3 linked regions of the Drosophila melanogaster genome follow. The protein of the gene in region 2 interacts with the protein of the main gene of each other region in a pairwise test. Each region holds a gene or a part of one and is shown on either strand. Other genes may lie near its edges.

Region 1 (4,079 bases), on a different chromosome or scaffold from region 2:
AAAAAAAATAAATAAATAAAACAACGACAAGTAGGAAAAAAGTTGGCCGCTGGCTGCGCGTCTGGCGGATATAAAAATAAAATAAAATCTATTAGGTGGCGAACCACCCCACATTTATGCGGCAATTTGTTGCTCCTTGATTGTGTCTGTGTGCGACGGGGTGTCCTTTCCGTATGTGCGTGTGTGTGTATGTGTAAAAATAAGTAAAGTAAAGTGTATCATTTTCCCATTTGGCGACCCCTTTTCGCATTTCGCCCCTGTACACAGGCACTTCTCGCACTTTGTCTCAATTCCCAAAACTGTCGCCCCGGCCGTTGCAATTTATGAAGATTTGTGTGTGGCCAGGATGCCAGCGCAGGGTGGGATGCCCAGGATGCAGGACTCTGAATATCACTGGCTCAGAAGCTCAGGGCTCAGCACTCAAGAGTCTTGGCCCACTCCCACTCCCACACGGTTTCGTTTCGACTGCACTTGTTTTGATTTGTTTGGAATAATAACAGATGCTTGCCGTTCATATTATTCATTGTGGAAATTATTAGCGCTTGACAATAAAAATGGCTATTTGAACAGCACTCGAAAGTGAGTGCGCCCCCTTACTCCCCCTCTCACCGACAATCCCCCGCCGCACAACACAAATTGCAATTTGTGCAAATATTTATGTACATTGAAAATTACTCATTTGTGTAACACCAATTAATTTCAACAAACAGCGGCGGGCGCACAACAATGGCCAAGCCATTTATAAAACTTGGCCGCTTGTTGTTGGTCCCTGTTGTCCTTGTTGTCCTTGCTGCCTTGCTGGTCAAACAAATGGGGGAAAATGAGGTCCTTTGTTTCCCCAAAATAAACGATGCCGCTGCTGTTTGAATGTTTGAATGTTTGCTTTGCGGTGCGCCAGCACACGATACACACTGTACAGTGGAGCCCTTCGCCAACAGCCGACAAAGCAGTTCAATCAGCTCGAACAGCTCGCTATTTATGTAATATACTTATGTGTACATATATATATGGTATATATATGGTATGTATGTGAAAAATGCGGGGTTATTGCCTCATTATTGGGACACTGGAAAATACCCTGTTTACACTGCCATTTTTCAAGTTGCGCCAACAAATTGCAGCTAATTAGTGGCCACACTAGCCGGGAAATCCGACGAAATAAGCTCATATACAATATACCAAAACCGGGGTGCACAGCAAATGGCACTCGGCAACTTCAAGTTTTCCACTCAATCAGAGATAATATGAACAAATGGGCGAGGGTCAGACGAGGGTCGGCACACTTTTCCAGGGGTGACCAACTTAAATAATACCTTTCTAGTACTGCAAACGCGGGATGTAAGACAGCTTATAAGGATGGTTAAGGTATCGTTTATTTTAGTTTAAAACCTAGAACATGCGAAGAAAATACAAATAAATGCGTTTATATAATATATATATTTTCTATTGTAAAAGTTTCTGAGAAATCACTATACCATCACATTTCCATGAAACACGAACTGGAACAATGCGATGTAGTCACTGACTTGTCTGTCGTCGATTTGTCATTCGTTTAGTCTTTGAAAAGTATAAAGGTCACCGTTCCGGAATCAAAATTTTTTTTAAAATTTTTAAGATACCGCAAAAGCGCGAATGTAGAGTATTAAAGTGCGTTTTAGTGAACAGCACATGTGTATCCGATCAGATCCTCAATTTTCATTAACTTCCGGAGAAGCGAAATCGAAAAAAAAAAAACACGATCTAAAGACGACTGCTAGTACAGCACGCAGAGGTCAAATGTCTAGATTCTAGAATTTAGATTACAACAGCTGGACTTTGCACACCACTAGAAGGAACTTAGAGAAGGTAGGGTAATCGATTTCAATCGATATAGCTAATCAAGCTGTCAAACCTTTTTCTTTTCACTTTTTCTAGAAGCGAGAATTTGTCCTACATTTTTATTAGGCATTTTGTGAAAGAATCAAAAGAAAAAAAAAGCTGAACGCTAAACAATTCACCGCCACATATCGAGAAGAAGCAATTCCATTCGGTTATGTTCTGGTATTGAGCACCTGGTATTGAGTAAATCGAAAAATTCACAAATCATCACAAAAAGTGCACGTCATCAGGACATACATTTTGCTGCACCCAAGAAGCTAAGTTTGTGACCCAAATAGACCAGCTCCGCCGAGGATCCAGTCCCATTCTCCAGACAGCCGCGATCTCAGGGTGAGTCCCTGACAAGCAGCCCCAACGGCGTCCCAGACGATTGTCCTATCCAGCCCGGACAACGCAGCCGCGGCCCCCAAGACCGAGGCCATGGCGGAGGTTCTCAATTTGGAGAGCATAATTTCCCGTCTGTTGGAGGTGCGTGGCGCACGGCCTGGCAAGAATGTCCAGCTGTCGGAGGGTGAGATACGGGGCCTGTGCCTCAAGTCGCGCGAAATACTGCTGGCACAGCCCATACTCTTAGAGCTGGAGGCGCCGCTCAAGATCTGCGGCGATATCCATGGCCAGTACTATGATCTGTTGCGTCTGTTCGAGTACGGCGGCTATCCGCCGGAGGCTAACTATCTTTTCTTGGGCGATTACGTGGACAGGGGCAAGCAGTCGCTGGAGACCATCTGCCTGCTGTTGGCGTACAAGATCAAGTATTCGGAGAACTTCTTTTTGTTGCGCGGCAATCACGAGTGCGCCAGCATTAATAGAATCTATGGATTCTACGACGAGTGCAAGCGCAGATATACCATCAAGTTGTGGAAGACATTCACGGACTGCTTCAACTGTCTGCCAGTTGTGGCCATTGTGGATGAGAAGATCTTTTGCTGCCACGGCGGACTGAGTCCGGATCTTACCTCGATGGAGCAGATCCGTCGTATTATGCGTCCCACCGATGTTCCCGATCAGGGACTACTCTGTGACCTGCTGTGGTCCGATCCGGACAAGGACACCATTGGGTGGGGCGAGAACGACCGTGGCGTTAGTTTCACCTTTGGCGCCGAAGTTGTGGTCAAGTTCCTCCAAAAGCACGATCTGGATCTGATCTGTCGTGCCCATCAAGTCGTCGAGGATGGTTACGAGTTCTTTGCCAAGCGCCAATTGGTCACTTTGTTTTCCGCCCCCAACTATTGCGGTGAATTCGACAATGCTGGTGCCATGATGTCCGTGGACAATACACTCATGTGCTCCTTCCAAATCCTGAAGCCTGTCGAGAAGCGCAAGAAGTAGAGGACAGCGAGATCTGTAGACGCTTCTAGATTTATTCTTATATATTGTAACACGCGGCACGCGACTCATTCACAATATCCTACACGAAATCGGTTCGAAATCATAATATCCACATACATCTCTAGTCAACCGGATCGAGGGAAATGGCTCAACTACAACGTATACCTCCATGGATCCTAACTGTCTTCAGAGGTATCCACTAGCCAATTCTTGCATATTGTATGATATGTGTAAGTTCACTGAGATTTGAACGCAGAGCTTATGCTTAGCTAATGCAAAATAACGCCATATGCGACTTTTACAAAAATAAACTTACATTTAAAATTTCAAGTGTTTTCATCTAATTGTTGTTTTTTTTCGATTTCCTAATTAATCTTGTCAGCTAGTTTATCCAACTCTTAATTTAAGCACCTTTCCCAAATGTGGAAGCCCTGAAAAGTGTGCTACGAATTCCGGCGGAGTGAAAAGTGGGTGATCCCCCTGAAAAAGAGATTCACCTCCATCTGTTCGTGTTCGGTGACAGAAGTCACCGCCATATTATATTAACAATGCTTAAAAATTAACAAAGCACACGCACACACATGCACACATGCACACGTAAAATGAGTGGGCGATATGGGGGCGTAAGAGAGAGGGAGCGAGCTGGCAGACAGACGACAAACAAAAAAACAGAGACAAAGATACAACAAATTGCGCCAAAAACGCTTTATTATGTCAAAACAAGATGAAAAAAAAAACAATAGAGAAAAGGAACCCAGTGTGGCAACAACAAATTACATTATATATATAATGAGGTCATTAGCGCGTAAACAATCAGAAAAGAAAGTGGGCAATGAAATACAAAGGGTGGGAGCGAGATGGCGGTAGAGCGT
Region 2 (5,001 bases):
GGTCTATGCCGATAAAAATGACCGGCAACTGCAACGAGGCACTCAAGTAACCACTTCTGTATGCACGCAGGGATCTCTCGAAACCGGCTTTCAACTAGGCAAGCAACTTAGCCGGCCGGCTCTTTTGCCCCTAACCCCTTTCGAAACCCCTTTGTCCGCAGAAACCCCCTTCATCAGCGAGGTTCAATGGGATGCTGCGTTGGCAGTCGAAGAAGAAATGAAGAAAGTGCGCATTCAAAGTACGTTTTTGTTTAACAGTCGTTGAGGCTCTTGAGAGACAAAAAGCGTGATCTCTTCAGAGAGTTGCATTATCATGGGCTTCGAGATGTGATTTCAAATCAGGCATTACGAAAACATTTCCCTGATCAAAAAAGAAAAAGACTCGAATGTCCATGCCTATGCACCGAACCGCCATGAGTGAATGTACACCGAGCACGCACACCAAAAATAGAGCATAGATAAAACTCAAATACATATACAGTCTCTATATAAAGGAGGCCCAACCACAATTTCGAGTTCCGAATAGTCGAGCCTGAGACTGCATTTTTGAGCAGACTTGGTTGCATTCAGCGGTTTCCGCTTGTCTGGGACAGTTTTGATGTGGGTACGACAGATATCATGTGGGTCGAAACTGGCCTGAACTCTACATGCATAGATTGGAAAAGAAAAAGCGACGAGGAAAATCAATTTCAATGCTTCATTAGTTGAGTATTTGAAATTTTGAGCCTCTTACGCAGGTTTAGGTGTTGATTTCTATTTTAATAATGGCCTTACGCGCGAGTTTTATGGGATTGATGAGGAATTTTAAGCTATAATCACTAATGACTTGGACTATTTTTAATACGAATGCATTTATAATCAGCTGATAACTTATCAAAGCAGATAAAGTACTTTTTGAGACATAGACTTAGGTTTTATAGTATTTATTATTTATAAAAAATTTCAATTAATATAGTTGCATATTTTCCTTTTTTATTACCAAAATCGATTAAATTCGAAGAGCTTTTTATAAGTTCAGCAATGAAAATAGACTAAAAGTGTCTCATTCACGAGACCCTAATGGAAGGCCTAATTGATTTACATATGTCAGGGGAGCACCCTCACATAAAAGAAATGCGTGGGCAGACACATAAAACCAAAACCCACTCACAAATGAGTCGAGTGGTGAATAATGTCCCATATTCAATTGAGTGCGGAAGAGGCCCTTATAAATCTGTGTGTGAAATATCTTTTATAATAAAAAACAATTTAACTAATAATACCAATTCTAGTTCGTAAGGCTATAAATATTGAACTGAACAGACCAGAGGCTATAACCTATCGACTTCGATAAGATAAATATTTAAAAAGCTGAGACGGAAAAAGTGTTTGCCAAACTCCTTGAAATTCACTTGAGCGCCACGAGGCTCAGTGGGAAATTTGATTTTGGGAGATGGGATGCTTCCCGTGCATGTGATCATGTCTCGAGGGGCTGACACCCGTTTTGACTTTTGTCACCGCCAGTGGCGCCAAAACTAATCAAAGCAACTAGGACCGACGCTAAATCGAAACCACAACTACAATCACTGCGGAATACCAAAATGCAATCAAAATATGCAAGCCACGTCGATCAGGAGAGAGAGAGAGAGTGAGAGAGAGACCGGGGCTATTCTAGAAACCTAACGCGAGTTCAGAACGCTGAATTATGTATACCCTTTAAAGTACTAACAGAGCAGAAAACTTAACTGTTTTATGTGGTCGTTCATTAGTAGTAAAAATGGGATGATTTTATTTTATTCTGCTTTACTGTTATTTCTGTTTTCTGTTTTTATATACTGGCCTCTTGAATATATAACATTCTGATAACATTACAAACGCTCCACTAACATGTCTATATGTCTTGGAAGGGAATTCAAACAACCAATCTCTCTCTTTTTCTTTTTCTCTCTCTCTCTTTTTCTGTCGCCCCGATCAAGTCTTAACGGCAAGTTGCAGCAACAAACATTTTCATTCGTTTTCGCATCGTCGAAGCGTACGGTTCATAGGAGGAACGGAACGAAGCGGGGAACGCGACGGAAACTAGTTGCTGTTTTTTTGTCCGTGTTAAATAATTGACACAAGAAAATTTAGCTACACTTAAGCAAAGTCCGCGAAAAATCTATTAAAAATCGTTCGTCGTTTTGTGTGTGTGACCACGAAAAAAGTGCCCCGATCGGAGGATTTTAATAAATTCAATTAAGGTTCCGTCCCAACGATCGTTTTTCATTGTCTGACGCTCACGCGTGATGTACAAATGAAAAAGTAAAAATTTAAATAAGATCAAAGAAAGAAAGATCACAGTAAAATTTAAAGTGGATTGACTGCACAAGAAAAAGAAAAGTTCCTTACCTCCTAGCCAGAAGTCAAAAGTGAAGCGGAAAACAGAGTGGAGATAACAATTAACGGTTAGTTGTAAAGCTAAAACTACACAATAAACATATCATGAAAAACTTTATAAAACATAAGAAGGGGGGCATTTTATTATTTTGGGTATCAGCATTTACATCACCTTGTTTCGAATCAAACTGATTTTAACATGCATTTGGACCAAACTAACAACGTTTCGAATGTTATCTCTTATGGAAATGGTATTGCTATATTATACCATCATTAATTCCGATTCCACCTGAGATTAGCAATTAATATGAAATTTCATAAACATATATTATATATTCGGATCATGCATTCTATTTACACATTACTTTCCAATTAAACGTTCATTTATTGCCGCGCTTCGATTAGCAACAAAAACAAATCGTTAATTTTCTATATTTTTCCACAGGGGCTTCCATACCAAAGTTCCTTGTTTGTAGAGATCATTGTAATCAGCGCAGATCGAAGCCATATATAAAATGATTTCGCACAGTCCGCCCATATTCAGTCACAGTCCACCCGTTAGTTTTCTGGCGGACTTCATGAGCGGACATCCCCGTCAATCGTTGAAGTAAGTTTACAAAAGTATATAACTCATAAATAAATATAGCCAGCAATTGGACTAATTTAACACAGAATTGCTCTAAGTGAATCCACGAGTTTCGGCAGCCAATCAAAACAAATTAAATAGCCAAACATCATTGAAAGAGTACCAATTCTCAGGTTTTTTCATGTCGAAAGAAAATATTTTTTTAACTTTCTTATCGATTGATAAGGAACTAGAAGCATTTTCTGATGCATCATCTTTTATGAATTTAACAAGTGGTGTACGTGTTAATAAGAGAAACGATATAAATGTCTGATAACCTGAAAAACCATGTGATAGTAAATGAATTAAACTGAGAGATAAAAAATACATAACAGATAAAAATGATTAATACCCTTTTGCATTAGGCGTTCTCTCTGGCGAATATTTAAACAATAATTTTAAACATTCAAATTTAAAACAAATTTCAAAATACCCAAACATAACCCACATTAACAAAATAAACAGACCGGAATGCCGTAATTCCATTTAATGAATATAAGAACTCAGTTGTTTACACAATCCAGAAAAGGAATATTATCGATCTCTCGAGGGCTGCCCATATTGATTCACATGAAACACCTGTTTCAAGTGTCGTCTATGGAAATTTTAACACCTGATCAAAGGCAGGAAACATGTCTTACCCAATACATAGTATTAAAACCTGAGAACTATTCGAAAACACAATGAATGCAGGTACTAAAAATATTCGTGCTAAGGCTCGTTTTTGGTTGACAACAACAGATTGGCAAAATATGAAAAGCAAGCATTCAAGATCAAGGCAAGACAGAATACTGAACCAAAACAAACATTTCGCCGATTCTGAGGTGATCTTTCGCTGGTGGAGCCAACTGAGATTTGAAGATTCGTTCACGAGTCGTGGGGGTGACGCCAAAAATTTGCTTGGCGACAATTTGCGCGTGGCGCTTGACGCAACTTTTTTTCTCAGGGGCACACGAGCAAGCCGAAAATTTGACAAATTGGTAAAGGGAAGAAGGGTAATATCTATATATTATATTTATACAGAGGCGAGAGCAATTGATTGAATTAAAGCAATTTGCCGTGCTTCATTTGCTGCACGCGCTGCATTTTCATCATATTTGTTGAGAGTATTTTATTTTTGGGAATGATAAATATACAATACCGAAAATTCGTATAACTTATATTCGTATATATGAGGACTTCAGCTAAAAATAAATCTATATCTAGAGTATGGCCAAGCAAAACAAACGCTACAAGAACCGGTAAAAAACTAAATAATCAGTTAAGATTAAAGAGGTTCAGTAGATAAAACTGTGGGAGGTAATACATGCGAAAGCCCTACTGCGATCCCTACAACTATGAACATTTCTTATCGGGGCACGTGAGCGGCATGCCTTCAAACAAACCGAGTACTCCAACCAACTCAAGTAACTCAGCTGCTAATGCGTCAACTCACTTGAAATTTCACAGCGTGATTTTACAACAGTTTACCCCACCCAATACCTAGAACTACCCACGTAACTGGGCGGGTCGTCATCGAAAATGATTGAATTCTTTTGGTTGCCAACTCAAGCACTAAATATGCTGATATTGTCTCCAGACAGCGCCAATTAGCCAAAAAAAGTTGATGATAACAGCAGAGCAGACGGAAATGTTCCCATAGCCAGGCCCACGCCGAAAAAGACGTATCAGCATGCCGTCAACATATGTTTAGCATGCAAAAGTCCACGCGAACCCCATTGAACGATCCTTATCAACCATTGACTTTTAGTTTTATGAATGTCTAGCCGAAAAATTATGATAACTACAAATGGGATGTGAACTGTGCCAAATGAGTAAGACCAGCGAGTCTCTCCGACTATACAATTTTAGAAATGACTCACTGAAGAACCCAAACAAATATGCTTCATATTCATACTATACATTTCCCACCCACGGCAAACCCGAATTAAGTGAGGAGGTCGCGCGCAACTCCTCTTATCAGCGATGTTTCTTTATAGACAATATACACGTATCAGTAGGACTACACAAGTACAAGTACA
Region 3 (6,118 bases), on a different chromosome or scaffold from region 2:
GAACACAAGCGAATGCTTCAGTGATGTCCGCCAGGATAAGCTGCGCCTGCAGCGGGCATATGATAAAATCATTTTCAACAACTCGGACAAGTGGAACAAAGATCGCGCCAATGAGAGCAGGCAACAGGAAGTGACGAGGAGCAGCAGCAGCAGCACCACCACCACACCTTATGCCTTAAGGCAGAAGTTGCTCCAGCTGAGGCTCCAGGAGGATGAGCGACATGGCAGGGGCACGGGTGGCACATGTGCTCCTTTGGGAAAGAGTTGCTCACTGCGATATAACTAAACACAAAGTGCTATACAAAGTAAATTTAGTGCAATATATTAAGCAACATAAAGTAAAGTTATAAATAAGATTTTAAAGTCCTCGAAATGCTTTAGATTGTAACACCAACTATATAGACAATAAATAATAGATTTGCTTTTTTAAACAAGAAACTAACATGCATTTCACTCAAGTAAAAACACATCTCGAATTTCATATTTATTGCTAGTATGTATTTCAATTTTTTTTTTAATAAAACAGTGCTATTTTGTTACAAGTGCTTCGTCATTGTGTTCATTTTGTTTAATTTGTATTTTTTTGTTTCATTTTTTAGCTCTTTTTTAAATGATTTTTTTGTTTGTTATTTTTTTATTGTATTTTATTTTTTTTGCAATTTACGCTTTGAATGCATTATAAATTTACCCCATCTGTCTTTTCTAATTTCCTTCTTGGGGTCAATTACACTTTAATTTTACGATATTACGTTATAGATTTCTTATGACTTGTGTTTTTTGGGGGTTGAAAACAGCCGATGTCGTACTGGATCGCATTATTACAAGTACATATATAGTCGTAAATATACGTTGAATTCATTACAACATTGAACAGAGTACTAGAGTGTGAAATAGAAGAGGACTCATGCTTTGCTTTTGGTTTTGTTTTTTTTTTTTTGTCCGTAGGTTACACGATTGTTGTTAGTAGGTTGCTTGGTTGTCGGGCGGGGATTGGATTGGATTGGATTATACAAACGAAACCATTTTGGGTAACTTGCGTCCGGCTGCATCGCTCCGGATCGCTGCCTGCCTGCCTGGGCATAATACTTGTAATTGAATGTGGCGGCCTTTAGCACTAGAATGTTGCGACGTTAGTCGTAGAATGCAAAATACACAAAAGTGTACACTTGTACGATAAACAGTGTTTGTGTCTGTGTTTGTTGCGCTGCTGTTTACAAATATTTTATTACTTGCTTATTTTTGTTTCGATTTTTTTTTCTATATTTCGTGTGAGTTTCACATGCACTTAATGGGTCTGGGGCCGCTGCTTTCCTTTCGTCTGGGCGGGGGATTAAAAGGGGGTAACATTATCTGCCTCGTCGCTGACATCAGCAGAGAGCACACAGTGCCGCTCAAAAGCGTTCGCCTTAAGGTAGATTTTCAATTCGGGTTTATTTTTGTCTATATAAACATACTTTTCAGGGTTCTCCTTAAAATCGTGTGTGCGTGCTTGCCTGTATGTGTGTGTTTGTGTAATGCAAACAGTTAAAAAATATTCACAATATTTGTTTATTTTAATATTTTTGGTGTAAACAATTCAAGCTTTTGTAGCTTGCAACTAAAATTGCTTTCCTCGTTTTAAAACTAAGTAAACATGTATCGATGTCAAATATTACAAAAATAAATCGTGCTTCGAGTACATACATATGTAATATGTAGTAACCTCAACTCACATTTAAAAGCATTCTCGTACAGTTTAATTAACATAAAATTTAACATTGTTACCATTTGCTAATATTCCCTTAGATACGCAAAAAAAAAAAACAAGGAAGAAGGGAAGTGTGGTTAAAGACCTTTGCCAAAGGTGCCGCCAGGATCGGCATACATAATTAAAATGCTGTGCGAGTTGGAAATGCAAATTAAAATACAACCGGTGCGTGCACTTATGGTACCTACTGTACGGATGATCTGAGCATGTGTATGTGTGTGTGTGTGTGTGAGTGTGTGGGTTTTGCGCAAGGAAATATTATAACAAAATTAATACATTAGGAGATAAAATATTCTTGCTTATGCAGTGTCTTACACTACCATTAGTTTGAACTAAAGTGTCTCGATTTGTGTTTTCTGGTTTCTTAATTTCATTTCATTCGTTTCGTTTTCCTTATTTGTTTTTGTTTTTTTTTCCTTTTCAAATGAAAGATAGGCTAATTTGTGTAGATTCATATTCCCCATATAACGTTGCTCACGATTCGATTACACGTTTATGATAAAAACAAACTCTCTGCGCTTTCCGTTGAATGTGGACACACGGATTCTCCTTTCTGTTTTCCCTATTTGTGTTTTGTGTGTGTGGCCGTTTGTAGTTGCTGTTGTTGTTGTGCTTCGTTCGAGGTGTGCAGTGTTTATTTTTTCTTGTTTTTATTGTTAGCTCCGCGTGGCGGTGTCAAAGGACGTCCTGAGCTGCCAAAGTTGGGATAAACAAATCGTCGCTTGTCGGCGGGTTTCAATATCTGGAAGGAGCACATCAATGTGTCGTCCACGGACATCATGGCACCTGTAAACGTAATCAATAATGATTAATCAATTCATTAGAAGCGGGTGTCGTGCATAGGTAGTTTCATTCTCGGTATTGATTATTGATTATTTTTAAATGCGCATTTTCCGAGTTGAATTTAAATCTGGTTGCCAGCTTTCACTTGCCGACAGCTTATCGGCAGGCAAAATCACCGAGTACAAGGGTGCAACGTGGTTGTTCTCCAAATAAACAAGGTTTATCTCCGACTAAAGTCCCCGAACAATGATCACTTACCCGCGTTGTCGAATTCCCCGCAGTAGTTGGGCGCCGAGAAGAGCGTCACCAGCTGACGTTTGGCGAAGAACTCATAACCGTCCTCCACTACCTGATGAGCCCGACAGATCAGGTCAAATTCGTGCTTCTGTAAAAATTTACCCACAACCTGCAAGAGCGAATGCATAAACAACATTGTGGCGAACAGTGTAATGCGAAGAACCCACCTCTGCTCCAAATGTGAAGCTCACGCCGCGATCATTCTCGCCCCAGCCCATGGTATCCTTATCCGGATCCGACCACAGCAGATCGCACAGCAGTCCCTGATCGGGCACGTCTGTGGGACGCATGATGCGTCGTATCTGCTCCATGGACGACAGATCTGGACTCAGGCCACCGTGGCAGCAGAAGATCTTCTCATCCACGATGGCGGCCACCGGCAGGCAGTTGAAGCAGTCCGTGAAAGTTTTCCACAGCTTGATGGTGTAGCGACGTTTACATTCGTCATAGAACCTGCCAATTAAGTGCAATTAGTTGAGTAATTTTATGGATTATTGCTATAGAATGTGGCATTTACTTTATGTATTTGAAGTATGGCTAATTTAATTGTAATGGATATCGTTGTGTGCGTCAATAAACTAGAAAGTATTAATAAGCTTGGAAGCATAAGTAGACATCAATATGTCTGGGAAATTTTTAAAGCTCACGTAAACAATAAACAACTATAAGTTCTATAGCATGTATAAAAGTACATAGTCATCAGAAGTAAATACGAGTCGTAAGAATAATATAAATTGTAATCAAATGAGTTTCAGTAATCTAAGCAGGAAAGCAAATTGTTTCGGTGCTGAACTGAACAGATTGCTAACCATTTCATCAAGCTTCATCCTGTTTTTGGAGCCGCCTCCCCACTTACCCGTAGATGCGATTGATGCTGGCGCACTCATGGTTGCCGCGCAGCAAGAAGAAGTTCTCCGCGTACTTGATCTTGTAGGCCAGCAGCAGGCATATCGTCTCCAGGGATTGCTTGCCGCGATCGACATAGTCGCCCAGGAACAGGTAGTTTGACTCGGGCGGAAAGCCGCCGTATTCGAACAGGCGCAAGAGGTCATAATATTGTCCGTGTATGTCGCCGCAGATCTTCAGCGGTGCCTCCAGCTCCAGGAGTATGGGCTGCGACAGGAATATCTCGCGGGACTTGAGGCACAGGCTGCGGATCTCGCTCTCTGATAGCTGAACATTCTTTCCCGGTCGTGCACCGCGCACTGCAATGGAAAACCAAGCAGGGAAAATTTACGTTAAGGTGATGAGAGTGGGCGGTGGTTGGGTGGCAAGGCATGTGGGGAATGGGTGATGATGGGTGGGGGCAAGGTAATCAAAAGTTGGAGCCCTAACACCTACCCTCCAGCAGGCGCGAGATGATACTGTCGATGTTCATGATATCCGACATCTTTGTGGGCCCGCTTGCTCAGCTTCCTGAAGTTCGCTTATCCGCCGATTGCAGCAACTGCTATTTCCCGTAACCCGTGTATTTTCGGTATACGTTCGTTATGTATGTTATTTCATCGATGGGCACGGGCTGCGTGTGCCTGTGTGTGTGTGCGCCGTGTCCGTGTGCGGATGGAAACTCGGTGCTGGGCTAATCTCGCCCTTTGGTCAGCTGGATGCACGGATTCGCGGATTCACTGCCTCGGTTGCTCACCCCTCTGAGGTTGGCTGACTTCAATCGTTCCGATCCTTAGCCAGCTGCCCTTTTATTGCATTTAATGCACGTTTTACTCGCGACGTACTAAAAAATTTTCATCTACGTTGGTTAGTGACGTCGATTGTTTACAGCGCGAGTCGATTGCCTATCGATTGCCTATCCATTGCACGGCGCGCAGCTATCGGTAAAAGGTAGTGTGACCGGAATATGCAAATTCATTTAAAAAACAATATTTTTTAGTTAAGTACGGTACATTGAACAGGTGATAGGTACTCATAAAGGAATATAATTATCTTATGATATATTGGCTATTAAACGTATCGTTGACATTTATACCCAAAGTATTATAATATCATCTTTATTGACTCATTTTAGGTTATCATCGCTGTCATTGAAGCTCTTCCCGTCCTCCGTGGTGTTGAACATCACCCGCTTCCTGGGCAGCGGAACTGGCCTCGAACTCAGGGACGACTTGGAAGCTCCTCGAATAGTGGCCGCCGGCTTGACCAGGATCTCCTCCAGACGAGCCTTGAAATCGCGACTAACTAGTCTTTGAGGACTGGGGCTTCGAGTTTGCTGTTCGCTGCTATCCGTTTGCTCATCCGTCTGCTCTTCGCCTTGAGAGCTGGCTATATCCTCTTCAGACTTTTCAGAGATCGCAGACCTCGGGATCCCTTTGCCTGGAACCTCCATTGGCTTGAGTGGACTCTTGTGCTTCAGCAACATTTCCGCGCGTTCCGAGAACTTGGCGGAGCACAGTTTTTCGACAAACTTGCGGATGCGATTTCGAGTGGCGTAAAAATGTGGATGTTGCTAAAGGGTATTCCAGAATTGTCAAAAGTTCATTAGTTTTTGGCAGTTATAGGCTTACCAGTTTCAGTTTGTTGCGGTGCTCTGTCAGCTCGGAGTTCACTCTCTTCAAAGAGTTATGCGAAATACCTTTGGACTTCATATCGAAGCCGTGAGACATCAACTTCCGGTTGACCATCTTCCGGGCATCCTTGCGAGTAAGTGGTTTTTGAGGGCTCCTTAAAACATGTGGATTATTATTACTCTAAGAAAGCTTAACATCGAAACACTCACTTGATGATTCTTCCAGAAGGCTTGATTGTTTTTGGCGTTGGATCCTCTCGTGCTGCTTCCGACCCGGAGGTGGGAACATCGGTCCCCTCCTCCTCTGTCAGGCTGCGCTCCTCTTCGTTCTCCGTCTCTTCTTGGCTGAGACTATCGCTTACGTCCGTGGCTTCTTTCGTTTCCTGCTTATTAGGAGCAGGTTCCCTTGGAGATTTCGTATAAGTCGGATTGCTGTCCGAACTTCCAGCACTTGGCTGCTCCTTTTCCACCACTTGAACTTGGGTCACCAGCTGTGGGAATGGTTTCTCCGAACCTTTTCGTGGCGCCTCCTCAATGGAATAGGTGTCATCGTCATGTTTCTGTTTGAGGAACTCGCTCTCCACCTGCTTGCGAATCCGATCAATGTTGGTTTCCTCCTTGCGAACCACCGGCTTGGGTATTTTCGAGGCAACTGGCACAGTCTGCACAGGCTCTGGCTGCACCTTTTGAACACTCAGCTGCTTGAGCTCTCGCTCCAGTGCCCCTAGCTTCTCCTTGTAGCCCTCCTCAAGGTGATAGACCACCTCTTCCAG

Evidence for each region. The genes of interacting proteins can lie anywhere in the genome.
Region 1: the proteins of Gbs-70E (region 2) and Pp1-13C interact in a two-hybrid assay, tested with the Drosophila melanogaster proteins (one study listed by BioGRID).
Region 3: the proteins of Gbs-70E (region 2) and Pp1alpha-96A interact in a two-hybrid assay, tested with the Drosophila melanogaster proteins (2 studies listed by BioGRID).

Annotation. Positions count from the first base shown.
Region 1 is NC_004354.4:15,358,557-15,362,635, reverse strand, and holds Pp1-13C (protein phosphatase 1 at 13C), read left to right. Parts: upstream 1-1,574; 5' UTR 1,575-1,845; intron 1,846-1,914; 5' UTR 1,915-2,298; coding exon 2,299-3,207; 3' UTR 3,208-3,535; downstream 3,536-4,079.
Region 2 is NT_037436.4:14,547,959-14,552,959, reverse strand, and holds the start of Gbs-70E (glycogen binding subunit 70E), read left to right. Parts: upstream 1-1,984; 5' UTR 1,985-2,423; intron 2,424-2,800; 5' UTR 2,801-2,870; coding exon 2,871-2,962; intron 2,963-5,001.
Region 3 is NT_033777.3:24,516,758-24,522,875, reverse strand, and holds Pp1alpha-96A (protein phosphatase 1alpha at 96A), read right to left. Parts: upstream 4,607-6,118; 5' UTR 4,218-4,606; coding exon 4,169-4,217; intron 4,033-4,168; coding exon 3,684-4,032; intron 3,281-3,683; coding exon 2,995-3,280; exon of another isoform or gene 2,937-2,994; coding exon 2,789-2,936; intron 2,534-2,788; coding exon 2,382-2,533; 3' UTR 545-2,381; downstream 1-544. Other genes in the region: CG13622 (uncharacterized protein), read left to right, coding at 1-286; DZIP1, read right to left, coding at 4,839-5,285, 5,344-5,500, 5,556-6,118.